2 linked regions of the Struthio camelus genome follow. The protein of the gene in region 2 interacts with the protein of the main gene of each other region in a pairwise test. Links are inferred from orthologs where the notes say so. Each region holds a gene or a part of one and is shown on either strand. Other genes may lie near its edges.

Region 1 (9,503 bases), on a different chromosome or scaffold from region 2:
AGGGAATATTTATTAGAATTTTTAAAAAGCATTCTGTTTCATCATTTGTCAGAAGTCTATATATACACAAAGTAACTGACTGTTTACTGTAGCAACAACAAAAGTTGTCAAATACATAAGATATTATTTCTGATTTGTAGCAACAATAAAATATTTCAGGAACGTAACTTGAAGGCATCATCGTCACTTGCTGTAATTGTTTAAACTTAAGCACCACTGAGGATAAAAACAAGATAAATTTTTTCAGCAGCAATCTATAAAAATCCATTCTTTGCTGTATATTTATCTAAAGTTCCAGTAAAATTTCTCTCAACTATGAGACGCTGCTTCCTACAGACTTGACGTGAGACATTTATGACATTCTTGAAATTTGGAATTCAACTGCATTAATCTTTTATCTTTGAAAGAAATGCTTACATATTAGTAGCTTATAGATTTAGGAAAGAAATCTGAGAATTGAAAAGGGAAAAAAGAGGAACGGTACAGTTTAGAGCCTTGGTGATTCTACTCAGTCACAAATTCAAGTGTAACAGTCTGTAGACCATACAACTGGTTAATAGCATACATTAATGCAGCAGATCTAAAATAGTGGCTAACGAGAAGCCACAACTATTACAATAAAAAACAAAGGAAAAACAAATAATGATTTTTGCCTGAAGCACATGATTTAACACAGGAAGCAGCAAAGGCTGGAAACTTTTCCTTTCTGATTTCTACCATACCGTAGTAATACAACTATATGAACATGTATTACTTTTTATTTCCTATTCCTGAGTTATTTCCAGGACAGCTTACCATACTAGGAGTCATACAGTGACTACGCTAGGATGAAAGTAGTGGAAATAAGAAGGTTTAAGACTACTGTTTTAAAGAGTATAAACAGTAACTACAATATTTAAGGATATGTAAACATTTGGAAAATAATATGTATTCTTGGAATAACATGTGTGTACATCACTATCATGACATACTTGGAATCATAACCAAATATGCTAGGAAGTATAAGGTTATCATCAGTCATTTGAAGACTGAAAGCAGTCCCTGCTTTGACTATCATCAGATGGGTTCTTGCAGCTTTTTGAAATTTTTCAAGGTTAAAAAGGTTCAGTTGTATTCTTTTTAACTAGAATGGATAAAAACAGACAAGTTCTGTAGATATGAACTATTTTTCCTAACTACACACTACTGTCCTATATAATACTTTTAGTAGCACAGGCTGTATGTTAGTTTACTGCCTTCCTGGTAGAAAGCTCCTCCAGAAGCTAATCATTAGTAACTCCTATCAAACACAAATCCATACTCCTAAAAGGCACTAAGCGAGGTAACCAAAACGCTCAGATTTCTGTACTGCCACGGCAACACAGCACGTATTCACAAGGTAGCAGTCTTAAACTTCCCAGTTTTTGAATCTAAGTCCATAACAGTATCAGAATGGTTTGCTTTCTCTCCAACAGCTTATATGTAATCCTTGAGCATATGAATGAATAAGGCAGATAGAAACTGCATTTAAAAAAAAAATTACGAGAGTGGTAGAAGAAAGTCCAACAAGTTCTATTACACAAAAGGATGTAGATACACCTTAACGTTCAAGCTGCCCCTAAGCCAAAGAAACACCAAAAACCAGGAAAGCATACAGGAGGGAAAGGGCTGGTCTTTGGTTGGTCTCTACTTTTGCATGTCTCAAAGTAAGCAACAACAAATACCTTCAGGAAAATACTAGGCTAGATTGATCTTCCCCTGACATAACCTGACTTTTAAGTAAATTGAATAAAGAAAAAAACAAAAACAAAATGACACAGAAAAAAATTATCACCAGATACCCTCCTTTGAAAATGTCCATACCTGTGGAAGTGCAGTATTGAGCTGTCTCTGCAAGGAATCTCTCTCATGACCAACTTCATGTAGCTTGCCCTGGGTCAACGCTAGCGTCTCCTGAGTTTCTCTTAGCGTTTCCAGAAGGCGATCCCTTTCTTCCAACATGGACACCATTAACTGCTCAAAATGGGAATCAGCATCTGACTGTAACGGGGAACCTGAACCATGGCCTCCATTTCCCCCAGAGGGAATCTCTGCCTCACTGATGGTTGGCATCACCTCACACATCATCTTGAAATAAAACAAGAGAAATAAAAACCATAAGTCTCAGTCAAACAAATCTAAACATGATAAGCAAAGGAACTTGGGATACTACCCATAACACCAATTTAGCTTTCCCAATGATAGCATCAGCAAAGGTTGCCAACACCTTTGTGCTTGCCACTGTTTCATTAAGACTGCAGGAGAAAAGGTATACAACCAATTTAATCACTTTATAATGAGAATCTTGTGACTTCTTGCAAAATCAGATTTCTACAGCTACATTTCAAACTATGATCTCATTTTAACAGATTTATATTTTTGTTAAGAGGAAACTGTTGCTGAGGTCTTTGAAAAAGAAAGATAAAGCAAGCAGCAAGACACAAAAATTATATACTTAAACTTGTTACTGATTATATTGCATATTTTGAGAATCATTATCTGTCTTCTCCAACTCCTACCATACACAAAGAAGGTATTCTAAACAACTACTTTGAGCTTATGCTAGGAGCAGAACCTCTATGGTAAATTTGATGCATGTAAATTAACAGTAAATCCAGATTCTCCAATTCAAGAGAGAAACATGTAAAAGAAGATAAAAGCCCTCAACAGTAATAAAATAATAAGAGAAAGTAAGATGTCGTTATTAAGTGGTACCAGCTGTCACTGTTGATAACAACAGTAAATGTAAGTGAAAATAATTGAAGTCACAGTATGAACACAGTTAACAGTACAAATTTAATTACATTACTACTGTTAAACTGGATGGATGCTTTAAAGACCCCAAGCAGATCACCACAGGAGACAGAAACTTTTTAAAAAGCATAGGAAAAAAAATCACACATGTGATTACTGCACATTCTCACTGAACCTTCTGAAGGTCCTGAAGACCTCTGAAGGTCTCCAGACAGCCTCTCTCAACAACACAAACCTACGAGACCCTAAAACAGATAAGAAAAAAGTTCTCTCACATCCTCCCAGGTACCATAACGTTTGTTCTCAGCCTTTAAGTTCACATTGATATCTGCACATTTTAAAGAACAATTAAACTTATTCAGAGCATTACCGTGGGACTACACCTCTGAATCTCTTGAAAAACTTCAAAAAGTCTGAAATGCTGCAACATTTTTATGCATGATTACCAAAAGGCCTGTATTTTCGACACCACTACGTTATTTACCTTGTTCAATGAAATAAAAAGGCTTGGAAAACAGGCGTCAAGTTTCCTGCAGTACCAGTTTTTCTGTTTTTAGTCTTCTGTTATCCCCCAAAACTTTTCAGATTGCAAACTATCCATTCAGCTCTAGCCCAACGTCTATGTAATTGAAATACTCCATACACACGAAAATGAATAAACCTGCGGGGCAAAGAGCTGATCCAGTAAAAAGCAGCAGCAACTTCAGCTAACTACTCAAGTCCCCAGAACAGAGAACGTGAAAATAAACCTTTTCAGCTTCCCATCTCTCTATTACTGGCCCATAGTTCCTGCAACAGCTGGAATCACGTGCAGAGAAAAAAAAATACTCTATGCCGCTGGTGCAACAAGCTTCAATAGTTCATTGCTCTGAAATTCCACTCAGGTCACAGTCACTTTATTGAACAGAAAAAGGACAGGACGGAACAACGACTTGAGTTTTCTTGCAAAGGATTTGGAAAAGCCTCCTTTTTTTCCTCCTCTATTAATTCCAACAGGAGGCTCTCCTTTCAGTTTCCTGGGCCTTAGCTCAAACATTTATAATCCCAAAAGCGAGGAGCTGATACCGGTTTGAAAGGCGAGCAGAAGGGAGACTCGCAGCTTCGCCTGCATTACTCCTCCAGCCGCTTTACAGGCGCACTCTGGCCCCGGCCAGTCCCACCGACGATGCTGCGGAATTTCGATATCCAGCCGAGAGGGATGAAAGAAACCAGCCGGGAAACGGAGGCAGGCGGCGCAGGAGGCGGCAGGGCCCAGGAGCCACGGGCAAAACCGGCAGCTCAAGGCCGGCTCTCGACGCCTCTCTGCCCTGCGGAGGCCCCGGCAAACAAAGATGCACCGAGACGGCGAGACAGGGCTCCCTGCTCCCGCGGGAGCGCCGCGCCGCGCCGGGCCTCCCTGCGCGGCGGCGCAGCCCCGCTCCGCGGCAGCCCGCGCAGGGCCGGCTCGGGCCGCCGCAGCGGCGAGCGCGGCCGCGGAGGCCCCGCGCCCAGCGGGGCCCTCGCTAGGGAGCGGCGGGGCCGCGCGCGTCGCCGCGAGCCGGGCCCGGCTCCGCCCGCCGCCACCTCCGCGGCCGCGGCGGCCGGCGAAGGGCTGGCCGAGACCGGCTGGTGCCGCTGCTCCGCGGCGGCGGCCTGCGTCCGCCGGTGCCGCTGCGGCCTCAGGGGGCGGCGCAGGCCCCGCGCGCTCCGAGCGCCCCTTCACGGCCGCCAGCCGGACCCCGAGCCCGACCCGCCGCCGGCCGCGCCAGCCCCGGCCGCCGCCGCCAGCCCCCGCGCCGCCGCCGCCTCCCGCTTCTCCCGGCGCCCTCTGCGGTCCTGCATAAATTACTCCGGGGCCCACAATGCCCCGCGCGGGGGTCGGGCGCGCCTACCTTCCCGCCCCTGCCGTCGTCCGTGGCCGCGGGTTCGAGCCCCGCTCCCCCCCGGTGCCCTGCCAGCGATGCTCCCGCCGCCCGCGGCTGTCAACCCGCGAGGAGGGCCGGGCCGGGCCGCGCCGCGCCGCGCCGCGCCGCCCGCCTCCGCGCAGGGAGGCACGCTCGCTGAGGCCTCAGCAGCAAGGGCGCCCGGCGCTCAAGGGCGCTGTGTGTGCCAGTGTTGCCCCGTAATTACACGCGGGGACGGCTGGCGAAGCCTCCTTCCTCGGGCTCTGCGTGTCCCGGCACGGCCCTGCCAGGCAGGTCTGCCCGCTCCTGGCAGCGGCCACGCAGCCCGCGGCGGGCATCGCCCACTCCCTCCGCCTTGGCCTCAGCCTTGGCCGCAGCCAGGCCCCGGGCCTGGGCCTGGGCCTACCCCCCCGAGCCACAGCCGGGCCCCTCGGCCTGCGCTCTCCACCTTCATTCAAAAAAATTAGCTAGCGCTCACACAGCTATGGGGTGATGGTTTTAACCAATAATCCTGTATGACTAAGGGCTCTGGCATGAGTAAAGGGGCTAGAGGAGGAACGGCCTGTATGGGTCTCCTGTCCGCGCAAAGCGGCAGATGAAACGGCGCGAGGAGCTTTCTCCCACCACCGTTGGTACGACGTTTGCGCGCGGTCCCAGGGGCTGGTCCCGGCTAGGAAGGTTTAACCTGTGGGGCAGGACTAGGAGAAAAGCAGGTGAGCCGCGCTGGCCGAGCCTGTAGCACCGACACAGTTACACCAGCGAAAGGGGGTTTCACTGGTACAGCTTACTCCCCACAGGAAATGGGGTTTGGCTACACTGACAAAAGAGCCTCCCCCGCCCCGCTCCCCCAGTTTAAAACTGTTTCCAAACAGCATATAAATACTTTCCGCTTGCACGTACATAGCTTTCACTCTGTTCCAGGTTCATCATGTTTGTAAGGCTTTTTCACACAACGCAGTAGGGTTTTAATCTGTACGCAAAGCTTAGAAAAGTACTCTCTGTACCCTTTGTAAAAAGTTTGTGTTACTACTTTAAAGCGTCACTGAATAAAGCATTTGCATTTTAGACCCCGTTCTTTCTTTTATAAATGCAAAGCTCCAATAAGCGTCAGGGGCCGGTTACACAGTTGCAGGTCATGCAAAAAAATAACAGTCCCTGAACTGAAGCTCATGCAGTTTTATGACTGAGTTATGTGACACCTAATTTGTAAACACAACGTAGAGGCACCTAGAACTGACTAGAGTTATTAATAAGTCACTCTTCCTTCCCCCAGGCAGGAAAACCTTTACAATTATGAACTTAATACATTGTGCTCTGTATTTGCCTTTGGTATTTGAGCCCTAGGGTGAATTCAGATCAGATTTTTAAGTTTTTTCTCTAGAACCATGAGATCTAGATTTTTTTTTTCTCTTGAAGTGTCTGATGTAATCACATGACTCCGGAAGCCAGGACTTTAAGGAAAAAGCCAAATATTAGGAGGCACATTCAAATCATGAGTTCTACCAAATACTGGCTAGCAGAGATTCAATGCCAAATAATACACATCTGAACTGTAATTGTATAAAATACCGAGATCTGACTTTTCAATACAGAAACAGTAGCAAAAAAGTTAAAATCAATTGTGTCATTCCGGAGGAAAGCCCCCTAATGATATGGAATGACCTGTGTTGTCAAATAGTCTCAATACAGCGCAGTGCTATTCCTTATAAGATTGGATATATTTATGCTGATATATTATATGCTTATTAGCTTTGATTTTAACATAACCTTAAAGTGATCGTAGGACAGGTGGAAGGAAGAGGCTTCCGGGCTTCAACCTGTTATTTTGCCCACACTGAGGCTTTCTTTCACATAATTGATATGTAGAACTAGCGACAGAATTTGGGCCGTGGTTATGAAGAACAGCAACAGATTTCTGAGGTAAAATAAAGGTAATTACTTAGTGCTTAAGACTAGGCCCAGAAGATTACCTTGAAAATAATCGGCTCTTTTATTTCTAAGCACATTTCTACAGAGCCTGCTTCTATTTCATTGTCCCAAATGCTCTGTTTGTCTTTGCATTAGTAAAATCATCTCCTATAACTCCTATGCAATTCATGGACAAGTATATTGCTTATACTGTAAGTCCTGATTTTGTTTGCTTTTTTAAAGAAAACAAAAATGCTCTGCTAACTGGATCGTCTCTTTGAAAAGTTAAGCAAAGCACTGGTAAGAATATTTAAATTCTTTCTACGTACGTGAAAAACTAACACATTTTTCTGAGCACAGTCAGAAACACGTGGAAGAGTCGGGGAGTGATTTCCCTAAATCTCAGACTAGGAGTTTGGACTATTTTTCCCTTCCTCTATAATGCAATATTCAAGAAGAAAATACAAAGGAATAAGTAAGTCAAATTTTTATCAGTCTGATAAAGTGATACCTAAAAAACTGGATAGCAATAAGTTAAAAAAATCAAATAAATTCCTTTTCCTCATTATTAAAAAATAAACAAAAACTATGGTAATTTTCTGGAAGATTAAAACTTTTTGCTCTACTGTCTTCATTTTGTACTGCAAGTCTAGTATCAAAGTGATAGCCTTGCTTAATTTTTAGTAGAAAGCCCTCAATATTGAAAATTAGTGATTCCATTGTGAAATCATTTATGAATAATAGCCAAGGGACCAGCTTTTTAAATAATGCCCCACAGGCCATTAGTCTTTTCATCTGTAGTTGCAGAGCAGCCATTTCAGAAATTATGTCCACTGATCTACTCTCGAGTTCAAACAGTTTCTAGATTTCATGCTTACACTTGCATGAAAATTTTCTTTGAACCACAGAAGAACATTTCATGTTAATTCTGAGGGGAGGAAAAACACATTTTACAAACACGCTAGTGGAGTGATAAACTATTGCTAAAAAGATCTCATTTTCCTGTCATTCTCCAAATGTTACTAGATACGGACCCGTACTGTTGGACAATTGTGCCTGAACTATTGCATGGTGAATAATGGAACTATTAAATATAACTGTCATGCAGGCATAACACTTAAAGTATGTTAAATTAAGTTACCATCAACTGATTTTGATAGGTATTTCGTAGGCTTCTTTATTACCAGAAAGGCAAAGCTGTTCCCCTGATAACAAGCAGAGTAGGATTTCATCCAGGCCAAAGCTACAATTGCTTCAATTAATTCAGAAATTTAGCTGTTCAGAAGGGAACAATTTGTAGGATTGGGATCATAATTATTTGTGGAAAAGAAACCAAAAAATTGCAGTACCTGCGAATTTCAGAAGATTTTCCAGTATTTTGGGGAATCTTGTTGCTACTAATTGCCAGCTAAATGAACAGTTCCAGCAGAGTGGCAGATATCCACATTTCAGAGTCAGCCGAGGCAATTGGTTCCCAGTGCTGAAGCCTGCTGCATTCCAGGGTCGCTGCTGGGTACTAAGACTACAGCTATAGACAGTTATCCATGACAGCCATGATGCTTATCACATTGCTCCTAAGTTTTGCAGAGTAGCACAGTCTCTTATTCCCCATAGCTTCTCCTTTTTAACCTCTCCCCCCATCCCTCCCACATCATATTACCCAGTAAGACACACAACACAAAGCACGTCCCTCACTTCTGACCCATAACATGACACTGTGCTGCACTGCGGACCTCGTATGCTGTACCTAAGCTGAGATCTGAATTTTTGTACCCTGTGAATATGTTCCTCTTACGGGTCAGCTGCGGCAGTGAGGGCAGCGGAGCCATGAGATGCCTTTACTGATAAGGAACTGCCGTTATTTTATCTTCATCCTTTGAGAGTCAGAGTTCAAATGGGCTTAGACTCTTTGACCTGGCTCTGCCTGACAAACGTTGCAACTCCGGCCGTCCTTCCCGATCACAACGCAGGTGGACAGTGCGTGCCAAAATCCCCGTCTTTTGTCATGACTACATTTGTCATACCAGTTCTGTCAATGAAGAGGACATCCAATCTAAGGAGCAGTCAAGGCAGCATCTTCAATTATAATGTGTTCAAGCAAAAATAAAACAAGACTGAGAAATACAGTCGAATTTACAGCTATATGAGCAAATACTATTTCATTTCAACTTGTCCTACATAAAAAATGAAAACTAATAATGTTAGTAAAAATAAACTATCCTGGTTTGATTTTCATTTTATGCATGAGTCAAAGGGAGAGATTCTGAATGTAAGGGCTAAAAGGTTAAACACCGTATTAGGCACAAAATTGATGATCTCTATCAAATTGGACACTGCACTAAGTCTAGTCAAGACTGATTTACCTCAGACCCAGGTTCTGTGGCACAAATTCATAAGCAAACCACTGTATTCACACGGATCCTAAAAGATATCTTTGCGTTTCTTTTGCATTTTAGGATGACTTGGAATGTGTTTTGTTATTTTTAAACTAAGTTTTGTTTTGACCTTAAATGGTTAAAAATAAAATGCTGTATATATCTACCAGCTATAATCATGCTTCATTATGAAAGCAAAGCAAACAACATACCACACAATTCAGAACCGGAGAATAAATGTTAATGACCTCCATCTATTAATCTTCACTTCAACCAGTTTGTTGACAAGGCATGAGCACTCTCGCGTTCAGCTGTCCCAGCTGCTCTCGCCAGCGGCCAGAGTGCCCGTCTGAGCAGCAGGAGGTTTCAGCTGTAGAGCCTCCTCAGCCTGAAGGAGTTCTCACCCATGTCTTTGTCACCCGCCAAATCTTGTCTTACCCTGTACATGGTTAGACAGCTTTCAGAGGGGAGAAGGAGGTGTTAATGGTCAGGCACTTCCTTTAGAAGTGGGTTCCAGTCCGCACAGACTCAGGCGGAAAGAGAGCTCACGTCACATACAAATGTC
Region 2 (10,175 bases):
TGCTAGAGATACTGTGACCGTTGTTTCCACTAAATGGGGGGTACGAGGTCTGTAACAATTATCTTCTAGAGCCCATGGATGCCAGCTAAATCCATGAGACAGACTTGCTCCAGTACCTTCACAGAAGACACAGAGAAGCGCTACCAATCAGTAGGAATAAAAGATAGGGCAATGCCAGATGTACCCACTCACCACCACTCAAGGACTGTGCAAGTTGTACAGACCTGGTTCGCAGGAAAGGACTAAAGCAGAGATAAAGGAAGGTATGTGACTAATACCGTGCACTGTATTAATATCTGTGATTAATTTTGGTGCTGTTTGGTAACACATACATTTAAAAGTGTGACACTATGATGACATCAATCTCTTCCTCCACCAACACTTTGCTGCTTCGTGGGTGTCAAGATTTTGTTTTTTGAAGAGGTCATTAAAGCTGCACAGACCATGGTTATATAACACTATTATTCAAAATTCACAGCTAAATAGATTACATTTACCAAGATGTACGCTTTTAAAATTTTAAAGAAGTTAGCACTACCGTTCATACTCACTGCAAAGCAAATGAGTAACTGTTCAGCACTATCCTTGAAATGAGATCTTAGTAAGTAATCTGGTCTCTCCATGATTAGAATGTGTTCCAGAGACACAATAATGCACCGTGATTAACCTATAAATCAGGAACTATCTTGTACAGATAATTCAGTTACGGTTTCAGAAAAATCATGTCCAGAGCAATGTTTTCTCAGGACCACTTCCAAGTCTCTTACCTTTCTTGAAGGAAGCAAAAGACCTGAAAGTTTCAATAGGTCAATAGTTCAACAATCCTGTACCCGCTTGCTGAGAAAACAAATGGTACTATTTAGATACATAAACTTTTCTTACAGATTTCTTTCTTCTGTTATCTGTGAGGGACTGAACATCTAAAGAAACAATCTTTCTGGGCCAGAGTGTTATCCATTACAAGCCAAGTAGTCTGACCGGAGAGATAAGTTTAAGGGACAAACTGACAGATATTTGGAAAAGTTGTGGAAACGACACTAGGCAAATGAGATTTATTAGAGTAACTGACAAAGCAGTTTTGAAAGCCTGAACAAACAGATACAGTAATGTTTCTTACTGACGGAACTGAGAGGAAGAAAGATGAAAAGTTTGTATTCACCCTTAGCACTTTAAACCTATCTTAGGTTCAAAATAGAAGTGAACTAAAGCCAGAACAACTAGAATTATGCTAAAGAGGTGAACTAGAGCGCACAACATCAGAAAGTCAAAGAGATGGACTGTAGTTTGCTCAGCATCTTTTTTTTTTTTTTTTTTTAAATATTTGTGGTACAGGGCATGAGAAAAGTGCTGAGAAATGTGCACGGATCAAAATGATATGGCAGACAAAAGTTCTTCAAATGGACATATGCTCAGCCTTACAATGGACATACGCAGAGAAAAAACACTCAAGTATTTGTTTTATGTACCATCAGGCAACAATGTCATTTAAATGGTGATTCTCCAGTAACACACTACATGTTTAAGCAGATACAAGTTTTTTCTACCTAATTTTATCCTTCATATTGGTGGCTAGTTGCTTCTACAGACTTGATATCTACTTTATCATTCTTCAAAACATCAATAGATCAGCAGTGCTTAGAATTAGCAATACACATAGACCAATGTGAATCTTACAGAACTGTACTACATTTTTATACTCTTTAGCCTATGCTACTGTATGCTAACTATATAACACATGCTATATGACCACCCTATGCAAAAGAAGTCGCAAGTCCATGCCCTATGGTTTTTATTGCTATAAAAAGGGCAGTAGCAACACAGATCTAAAACTGTCAATCCTTTACACTGTCAACAGAAGAAAGACCTTATATATTCACAAAACTTCAGGTTTGGACCTGAGGGTTTCCCTAACAGTAAGCCAGAAGGAGCTTGTTGGACTTCAGTTATAAAGAAGAACTGAGATAAAATGATTAAGGCGGTTTAGAAAAATAAATATGCTTGATGATGCTTAAAAATCTTAATCATTTTGTTGCAAAGTTCTAATAAGAAAATAACACTGCGCCATATCCATCTTGCCAAAGCAGTATCATGTCTCCAAAAGCAGCCCAAAGTAGATGTCGAGGGAAGAATGCAAGACTGGAACAAGCACACAGTTAAAGTTTCCTGAGAATACACTTTCAAGGTCCAAAAGTTCGCAACGCCAAGACTTCCAGAGTCAAATTGATCCTCTGGAGTTAGTAACCATCCACAGCTTTCTCCTCCATGAGCCTATCTGCCTGTCCTTCACAACTTGTAAACTTTTAATGTCCACAGCACTTAGCAGCAAGAAATTCCAGAGCATAAAACCCACAGTTCAACAAATCACCTTCTTGCATTCTTTTGAACCTGCCTTCTCCCATCAGATTTTGAAGTCACACAGTTCTTCTATGGGAAGGAAAAATGGGATGGGGGTGGGAGAACCACCACTATCCATCCTCTCCATGACATTTATGACTTTATAGATCTCCAGCATATCTTTTCCCCAGCCCTCTCTTCCATGCTGAGGGATCCCAGTTCATTTCGTCATTCCTTCTACTGAAAGCGCTTTATGCTCCAGTGAGTCCAAATCAAAACATGCATGCCAGGAAAGCTGAAAAGATAAGGAATGAGCCAAGGAAAGGGCAAACCAAGAGGTGACTAAAGCAATTCTGGTGCACATAACTAGGAAAAGCCTAGGACAGGAAAACACAACAGACTGAACAAGGAGGTGAGACAGAAGTGAAGACTAACACACCGGATTACAACTTTGCACAGGAATGACTGGAATGGTAATGAGTAGCAAGGCAAAGCACATGAATTAGTATTTGACTTGGACAAACTGAAAGATGAGAGGTAAGGATTAAAGGTTCTACAAATAGCAGAAAATACAGCTTTTCCAAAATACAGTAACTCAGAATTTAAATTTTCCTATACCAATGGAATATAAAAACAAAATGCATTTCATTTCCCTTTAGCTGTTCATCCAGAGAAATGACAGCAGTCACTCCATTAGCTCCAGTGCAACATGGAGGTGCAAACAGATATAAACATTAGAACTTTACAGATGATGACCCATGCAGAAAGCAATACGGATTCAGAAGATGAAATTAGGAAGGAGTTTTAACATGAAAATTACCTTAACTATTAGCTCAGATTTTTATAAAAACAATGATAAACACTGCATCTCAGTGCGTGTGAGTAAAGGGAAATAAATGGTCAGGACTGAAAAGGAAGCATTAAAATCCTAAGGTGTTTGACCTTTAACCTTAACACTCCTTTAAACATAGCTTTAAATTGTATACACCAAACCCAAATGTGCCAGCTAGTTTTCTGGGATCCTGACCAGAGTAAGAAAATGCCCGATTTTCATCCATTCCCGAGCCTTGACAAACCTTGACAGCACAACTACTTTCTATATGGTAGACCTGGCAACTTCCTACTTCTTTCCTTACTCTTTCTGCCACCTTCCCTTCAAGGGCTTCAAAGGTAAAATTCATCAAGAAGAATATACACATTAAGATAGTCACATTTTGGATTAATAATGTTTAATCAAAGAATCTGCTTCCTTCCTTCTCCAATACTAAAGCAACACTGAATTCTAGAATAACTACACAGAAAAGCCAGGTTCCCACAAGGGCCCACACATCAAGAAGAAGCCTCACCAGCCAGCAGAGCCAAATTCTAAAAATAATTCTAATGAATTGGTCAACCTCTAATGAGGTTGAGAGAGGTTATGCTCTAAATACTCTTAAAGCCAAATTTTTCAGAATAACAGCAAAAAATGCAGTACTCAGTCCTGCTTTCTGTGTGGTTCTTCTGCACGGCTCAGAAATCTGTAAAATTCCATTTTGCACTCTTGGAAACTTGTAATTTTTTTAATATGAACATAAGAGAGACCACAGTAGATTGCACCAGAAGTACGGTTCCTCACCATATCCTTCCGATTGTTTTGGACTCATTACTGCCTAGTTCCATTTCATGCTGGCTCCTGCCTCCACCCACTTCTGGGCTGGAAGAGACATGAACAATACTCAGTCATCTCCTTTCCAGGCTGAAGAATCGGGAGACGATATAACAGTTTTTCGTACAAAAACTGCCCTCCTACTTTTGATTATCCTTATCACCTTCCTCCATATGTTTTCTAGTTCTGTTATCTGCTTTCAGAGATGAAGGAGAAACAGAACTGTACACTATATTTGACATAAGAGGCATACCACTGCTTTACAAAGTAGCAGTAATATTGTTTTATTCTTTTTTTAATATTTCTTAATAATTCTTAATATTCTATTACCTTTTTTTGACTACAACTGAGCACTTGCTGATGTTTTCACAGGACGGTACCAGAGCATCAGGATAGTATTCCTGAGGGGCAACAGATAGCTCAGAGAACAACAGTAGATATGTAAAGTTAGGATTGCCTGTTTCTCCTCTCCGTTCCCTCACCTCCATTTGCATAACTTTACATGCATCTACACTGGCAATAAAGTAGCAGATGAAATTCAATTACTAATTGAGTCCTTCTAACATTCTTAACGGTTGGCTTGCATTTTTAATGATGGTTTCTTTCAGCAGATGTCTCACTATTCACCCTCTGTTCATTTATCATTTAAGACTATATTGCTGTTTAGTACAGTGATGGAATGGAGTTAACCTAAGAACGCTGAGACTAGAAGGAATTGATCTCTAACTCATTAGTTAAAGTTGTCTTCTGCAAAAGAACGTAATCTTGCTCTTAATGTTTTTCTGACCTCTACATTACTGAGGCAATTTTACCAGTCCCCTTCTCCTGCCACAGAATTTTCTGAAATAAAAATCTGTATTCTGAGAGCTAAACAAACCTACTAAGACGACACAAAAGTCATGCTCGAACTAAACACTGTACTTGGAACTGAAACTAAACAAATTCAGAGATCTACACAGTGCTTCAAGTGAGAGTAGCAGGTTTTTTAAACATATAGAATTGGTGCAAATATAAATAATTAAATGGTAATACTGGGATTTCATTTCTTTAGCTTTTACACCACTCAGTTCAACCCAAGGCTCAAATCTCAAGTGCTTAGAGAAACATGCCTGAACATAAAACATCGAGATTGCCACTAATCTTTTAAAGGAAGGGGAAAACCTGAAATCTGATAAAGATGCAAATTTCACACACAAGGGTGTTTCGTGATGAACATCCGTTTTTGTTTTTCCAGCAAAACGTTTGATTTGTACTTTAAATAGAAAAGCAGTACCATCAACTAGCTTCTATTCATAGTGATGAGAAAGTGAGTTTATATGGTCTGTTCTGGTTGATTTCCACGGATATTTCTTCCTCAAAAAGCCTTTTCTAATATTTAATAATCTGGAGAGGTCATTTACATTATGAATGCTCTTGATTCACTTGAGGATGAGGACTAAGAGTAGGTTCAACCTAATGCAATTTTTTCCTTAAAGGTTGTTAAAACCAACGCAGTTGAGTTTCTGCACCTGAGTAAAATTCTTCTAGCTAGAAGTCTCCCAAAGTTTCAAGGATTCTGGTAAGCATGGAGAGCTGGAAGTAAAAATATATTCCACGGGTTTTGGTCTTCATATCAGCTCTTGCACTGATAGCATGGGCTCAGCTTACATTCACCACCTAAGCCAGAAGCACAGAAAACTCTTAAAGAGTGCACAGGTGGTCTGCTCAAGTCTGACGCAGTGAAACATAGAAAACTTCTCACTGCAGTGACAGAACAGTTCTTGAATTAACAGTGAGAACCATGCTAGATCCATAAAATACAGTTTTGCTTTATGTCAGGAGGCAGTAATTTTGTTGAAGGCAAAGAAGCAAATCTGAAATCAGTAAGATGAACCCATTATTGGAGGAGCTTATCTTTTATCTGTAAGAAATGTCAGTACAGTTACTGATACTGTCTATAGCCCAGAAGGCTTCACAGTGAAGTACGTTCAAGTTCAAATGAGAAGCAAAAGCATCAGAGTTGAACTCACTGATGAAGCCAGCACCTAAAACTGAGCGGATGTAATAAGACCGCATTTCCTGATTTATCTTCAGTGATATTGAAAGTAAGCTAAAACCTGCTCCAGTTTCAATTAGTTCTGTCATAACGTATGTGTTCAGCTAACTTTTCTCTGTATTCAGTTTTCAGATAGACATTATGAGGCTCTTGAAAATTACCAACACACTGTGACAAGATAACAGTCATATATATATAAAAGTATGATAGAATATATATGTATATTTGTGTGTATACACAAATACATTATACATACACACAGACAAATGTATTTTTTAATGCAATAAGGTAAGGTAGTCCCCAAGGCCCATGGTAAATTTTAGTTCAAGATGCCTATTATTTTAATTCATAATGTTGAGACTTAAAGGGGAATTATCTATCCTGTGGTAAAATAGTCATTAAAAAACAAAACAAAAAAACTCCAAACACAATGTGATTCTTATTTGATAACCGTATGGGGGAAAAAAAAATCTTTAAATGTTATCATTTTTCACCTTGAAACACAAAAAAATTGTAAGATCGAACACCTTCCAAAACTACAGTTGAGTATGTTTAGTGCAAACCTTCAAAGAGTTTACAATCTTTCCTCATGCATCCAACTTCTCCCTCTTTCATTAGCTACCATATTACTATTTCATTGCTTCATCGAGTAATCCATATGACAGAATTCATATGAAACCTTAATTTACAAATGTCATTCCAGTAAAGGAGGATACTTCTACACAGTCACTTTCACTATCTGAAATACCTTAAATAGCACCACAAATATTAACATATTTCAGCTTTACTCCTCTTTCTTCTTTTCCTATTCATATTCCATTCTTCTGTTCTACTCTTCTCCTTTCTCTTTCTCTTCAAAAAAACTCCCCCCCCCCAATACATGCATGCCATATGTTTCCTATGCTTATACCGGGCTGAACAGAAAAAACAATACATAAAAAAAAATAAAATCTGAAGACTTCCCCTTTACTTGCTTTCACAGCTTTAGCTGCTGATGACTCTGGACTACTTATTTCTGTGGTTTTTGACTACACTTAAAACTTAAGCACAAAAATGAAGTAAGCAAGTCACTCTTAGAAGATTGTTAGGCCAATACTACAGGACCTATTTTAAAAGGTTTCGCTCTTCTTGGAGCTCATCAGCTGTAGGTAACGGCCTAAGTAAGCAGATTTTCCTCTCCAGATTAACGGGAGGGAGAAAGCGTATTTAACTATTGTCAGCCAATGTAGCCTTTGTTCTTGCACTAATGATAGCCACCATCTCAAAAGCCATGCTTTCTCTTCTTCCCTAACTACTATCATATTGACTTCCTACTACTTTATGAACTACAAAATTTACTCTCCCATTCTAGTTTCTTATCTGCAGTTTCAGGTGTTTGCTCACTTGACTTTTGATTATTGTAATTTAGACACTGCTGCCTCATCAGCTAAATAGGAGAACACAGAAATACATGCTTATTTATGAATTATTAAGTTTGAGTTTGTTCAGATTCTTGATGTTACATTGTACTCGAGGAAGTATTTGGCATCTCTTAATATGACTGCACTTGCTGTGTTAGGGAAAATTCTACTTATACTTATTTATATTCAGAAATAACTTGTAATTCAGTGAAAATTTAGAACACTAGTTTGGGGCACATCTTGCTCTTAAACATACTAGTTACAGTTAGGGAAGCTTAATAATTTCCTGTCAACCTTCAAATTAGAAGGATCTCACGTCCACAGGCTGTTTAAAGAAATGAAGCTTTCATCCCTTGTCAGTTCATTCAGTTTTTAAGATTTGAATGAACCTGCCATTGAGCTGAGGATATTGAACAAAAATTTACAGCATATTTACAGCATAACTGTACTTGCGGAAAAGGTTCTGCTATCACAGCTGGTTTAGCACTTGTAGTTATTTGTTCTGGGCTTCTAAACATGTATGGCTTGAATTTCCATTTAATTTAAATCATTTTAAATAGTTTCCATCTTATCATAAATGTTCTAGTTCTAAAGTTTACAAATTAAGTAATTTATGACATAAAGGGGCCTGTTTTTTAAATAAAGTGGGTCTAGGGTGAATAAAAATGCTGAAGTATTTTTTAACTCTTCCTTTACTATAAATTTGAACAAAGTCATAAAGATTCACTTTATTCCCTCACTTCCTTCTTTGCTCACCCCAATTATCTGATGCTGTCTTTTTTTTTTCCTCCGATTTCTTCATTCTTCATCTTCACTTTGTTCAAATTCCCATCTCCCCTTCCTCAGCAAACATTAATATATCTAATTGAGTAAAAGTAATCCTTCATTCCCCTACGCCTCTCACAGGGAAAAGAAAAAGAGGTCTAGAGGTTATATCAGGGAATAGCTAACACATTTAGACCAAAACTTAGAAAGATGATAGTGGAGAAGCCTTCACACTTATAAAAGATGCAACTAGACCAACAACATCTCTTTAAGTATACTAGAATTTCTGATAATTCTTCTAGTTTAACTAAAATTTCAAACTCTGTACCCATAACTGTTTGGAACAAACTGAAACAAAAGAAAGGATTAAGAATAATACTTTTAAAACATTACTTCTGCATACTACCACAACGTATGGTAATAATATGCGGCTTCTAATAGCACAGCTATCTGGGACAAAATTGACTTCAGTCTAGAACAGCAGGAGTGGGAAAACAAACAAACAACAACAAAAAACTAGCCTATGATCAAGACAATAGATCACAGATCACATCTAATTTCATGGCAAACAAACCTATAAGTGAATGGCACTGTTTCCAGCCCCCTCCTCCTTTTTAAATAGTGGATCAAAACTGCTTTTAAAGAAGATTTTGCAAAAACATGAATTTATTATATAGTAAACTTCCCTGAAAACTAAGGGGCAATCAAGTAGTTTGGAAGAAACAATTTAGTACCAAGGACTAAACATTTCCCTACTCCATGCCTTGCCAGTTTCATTTAAATTGCAAGAAGTTTTTAAGGCATAAAATGCCATCTGTGTTGTTTGTATAAGCACATAGCATGCAGCAACATGTCCTCAACCAGTTCTTATTGCTTTAATTTACTGTTATGGATAATGAGCACCTAAGTCCCCATATGAGACCAGCAAACTTATCTTCCCACCTAGTAAACAAGATTCTACTACACACCAGTTAAGCAAAGATGGAACAAAAAAAAAAAAAGTCCTTCAAAAACTTTAAACATCTTTACAAAAAATAAAGTGAAATAAAAAAAAAAAACAAGAAAAATCAAGTACCAAATTAACTCAAGACTGAAATAGAGAAAAGCCAACACCAGGTACAGTTCCAAGTCATTTGAATTATTGTTCCACTTGCAGCACAATGAAATTTCAGTTCATGTGTGTGACTACTGAATGCCAGTCCTACAGAACTTAAAGGTCAGGTGCAAAACAGGAGAATGGTGGATGAGACAGGCAGTAGGCACAGTACATTAGTAGCTCCCTGGTGCTAAGTTTTGGAGTTTAAGTCGTGACAGCAAAGGAAAGCTTTAGACAATACCACAAGGTAATACTTGCAAATATATATCCATATTTACCCATTATTTTTATATCCGTATTTATTATTAGTAAATGAGGAATTGTTAAGCATGGGGAAGGGTAGGCCAGCAAGCTATAAAGCATGTTTAAATATTTAGTTCGCTGAAACACAGATTTGACTATACCAAACAAGACAGAAGTTAGAACACTAAGCGCCTTGAATATAAAAATGTTTTTCTTTAATGACAGAAGCCATCAAAGTCTTATCTTCCTTGATCTCCCAAAAGCCTGAGGAACACAAATTGATTTTGCAACCTTTTGAAGTTAAAAATAATATCTATACAGAATATTTACCATGACCTTGCAAACAAGAGCAAATATAGCAGTTAAAGTTGTTTCCTTAGATAAAGGGGTGTTCATTTTAGATAACAAAGTATTATACCATGATTTTAAAGCAATAAAAGCTCAGAAATATCCTAATTAACATCCTACCTCTCCTTCTCAGGACGGTTAGGCTCGTCTTTGTAACTCAAGAGGGGATTTTTGTGCAGTTTGTGCTTCCTAGCTTTTCCAATCTTACAAAACTGTTTCTAGCCCTTTCTATCTGCAGGTTCCCAGAACTGCTCGCTACAGCCTGTGAAATAACTCCAAAATTGCCTCTTAACCAAAATGAAATATTTG

Evidence for each region. The genes of interacting proteins can lie anywhere in the genome.
Region 1: the proteins of DTNB (region 2) and PPFIA1 interact in binary tests that used the Homo sapiens proteins (3 or more experiments, as listed by UniProt). The link is inferred for Struthio camelus from reciprocal best matches to the Homo sapiens genes DTNB and PPFIA1.

The regions. Positions count from the first base shown.
Region 1 is NC_090946.1:32,986,716-32,996,218, reverse strand, and holds the start of PPFIA1 (liprin-alpha-1), read right to left. Parts: upstream 4,189-9,503; 5' UTR 3,257-4,188; intron 2,107-3,256; coding exon 1,843-2,106; intron 1-1,842. UniProt on the Homo sapiens protein: May regulate the disassembly of focal adhesions. May localize receptor-like tyrosine phosphatases type 2A at specific sites on the plasma membrane, possibly regulating their interaction with the extracellular environment and their association with substrates.
Region 2 is NC_090944.1:1,496,834-1,507,008, forward strand, and holds the start of DTNB (dystrobrevin beta), read right to left. Parts: upstream 4,483-10,175; 5' UTR 4,474-4,482; coding exon 4,310-4,473; intron 4,028-4,309; exon of another isoform or gene 3,950-4,027; intron 1-3,949.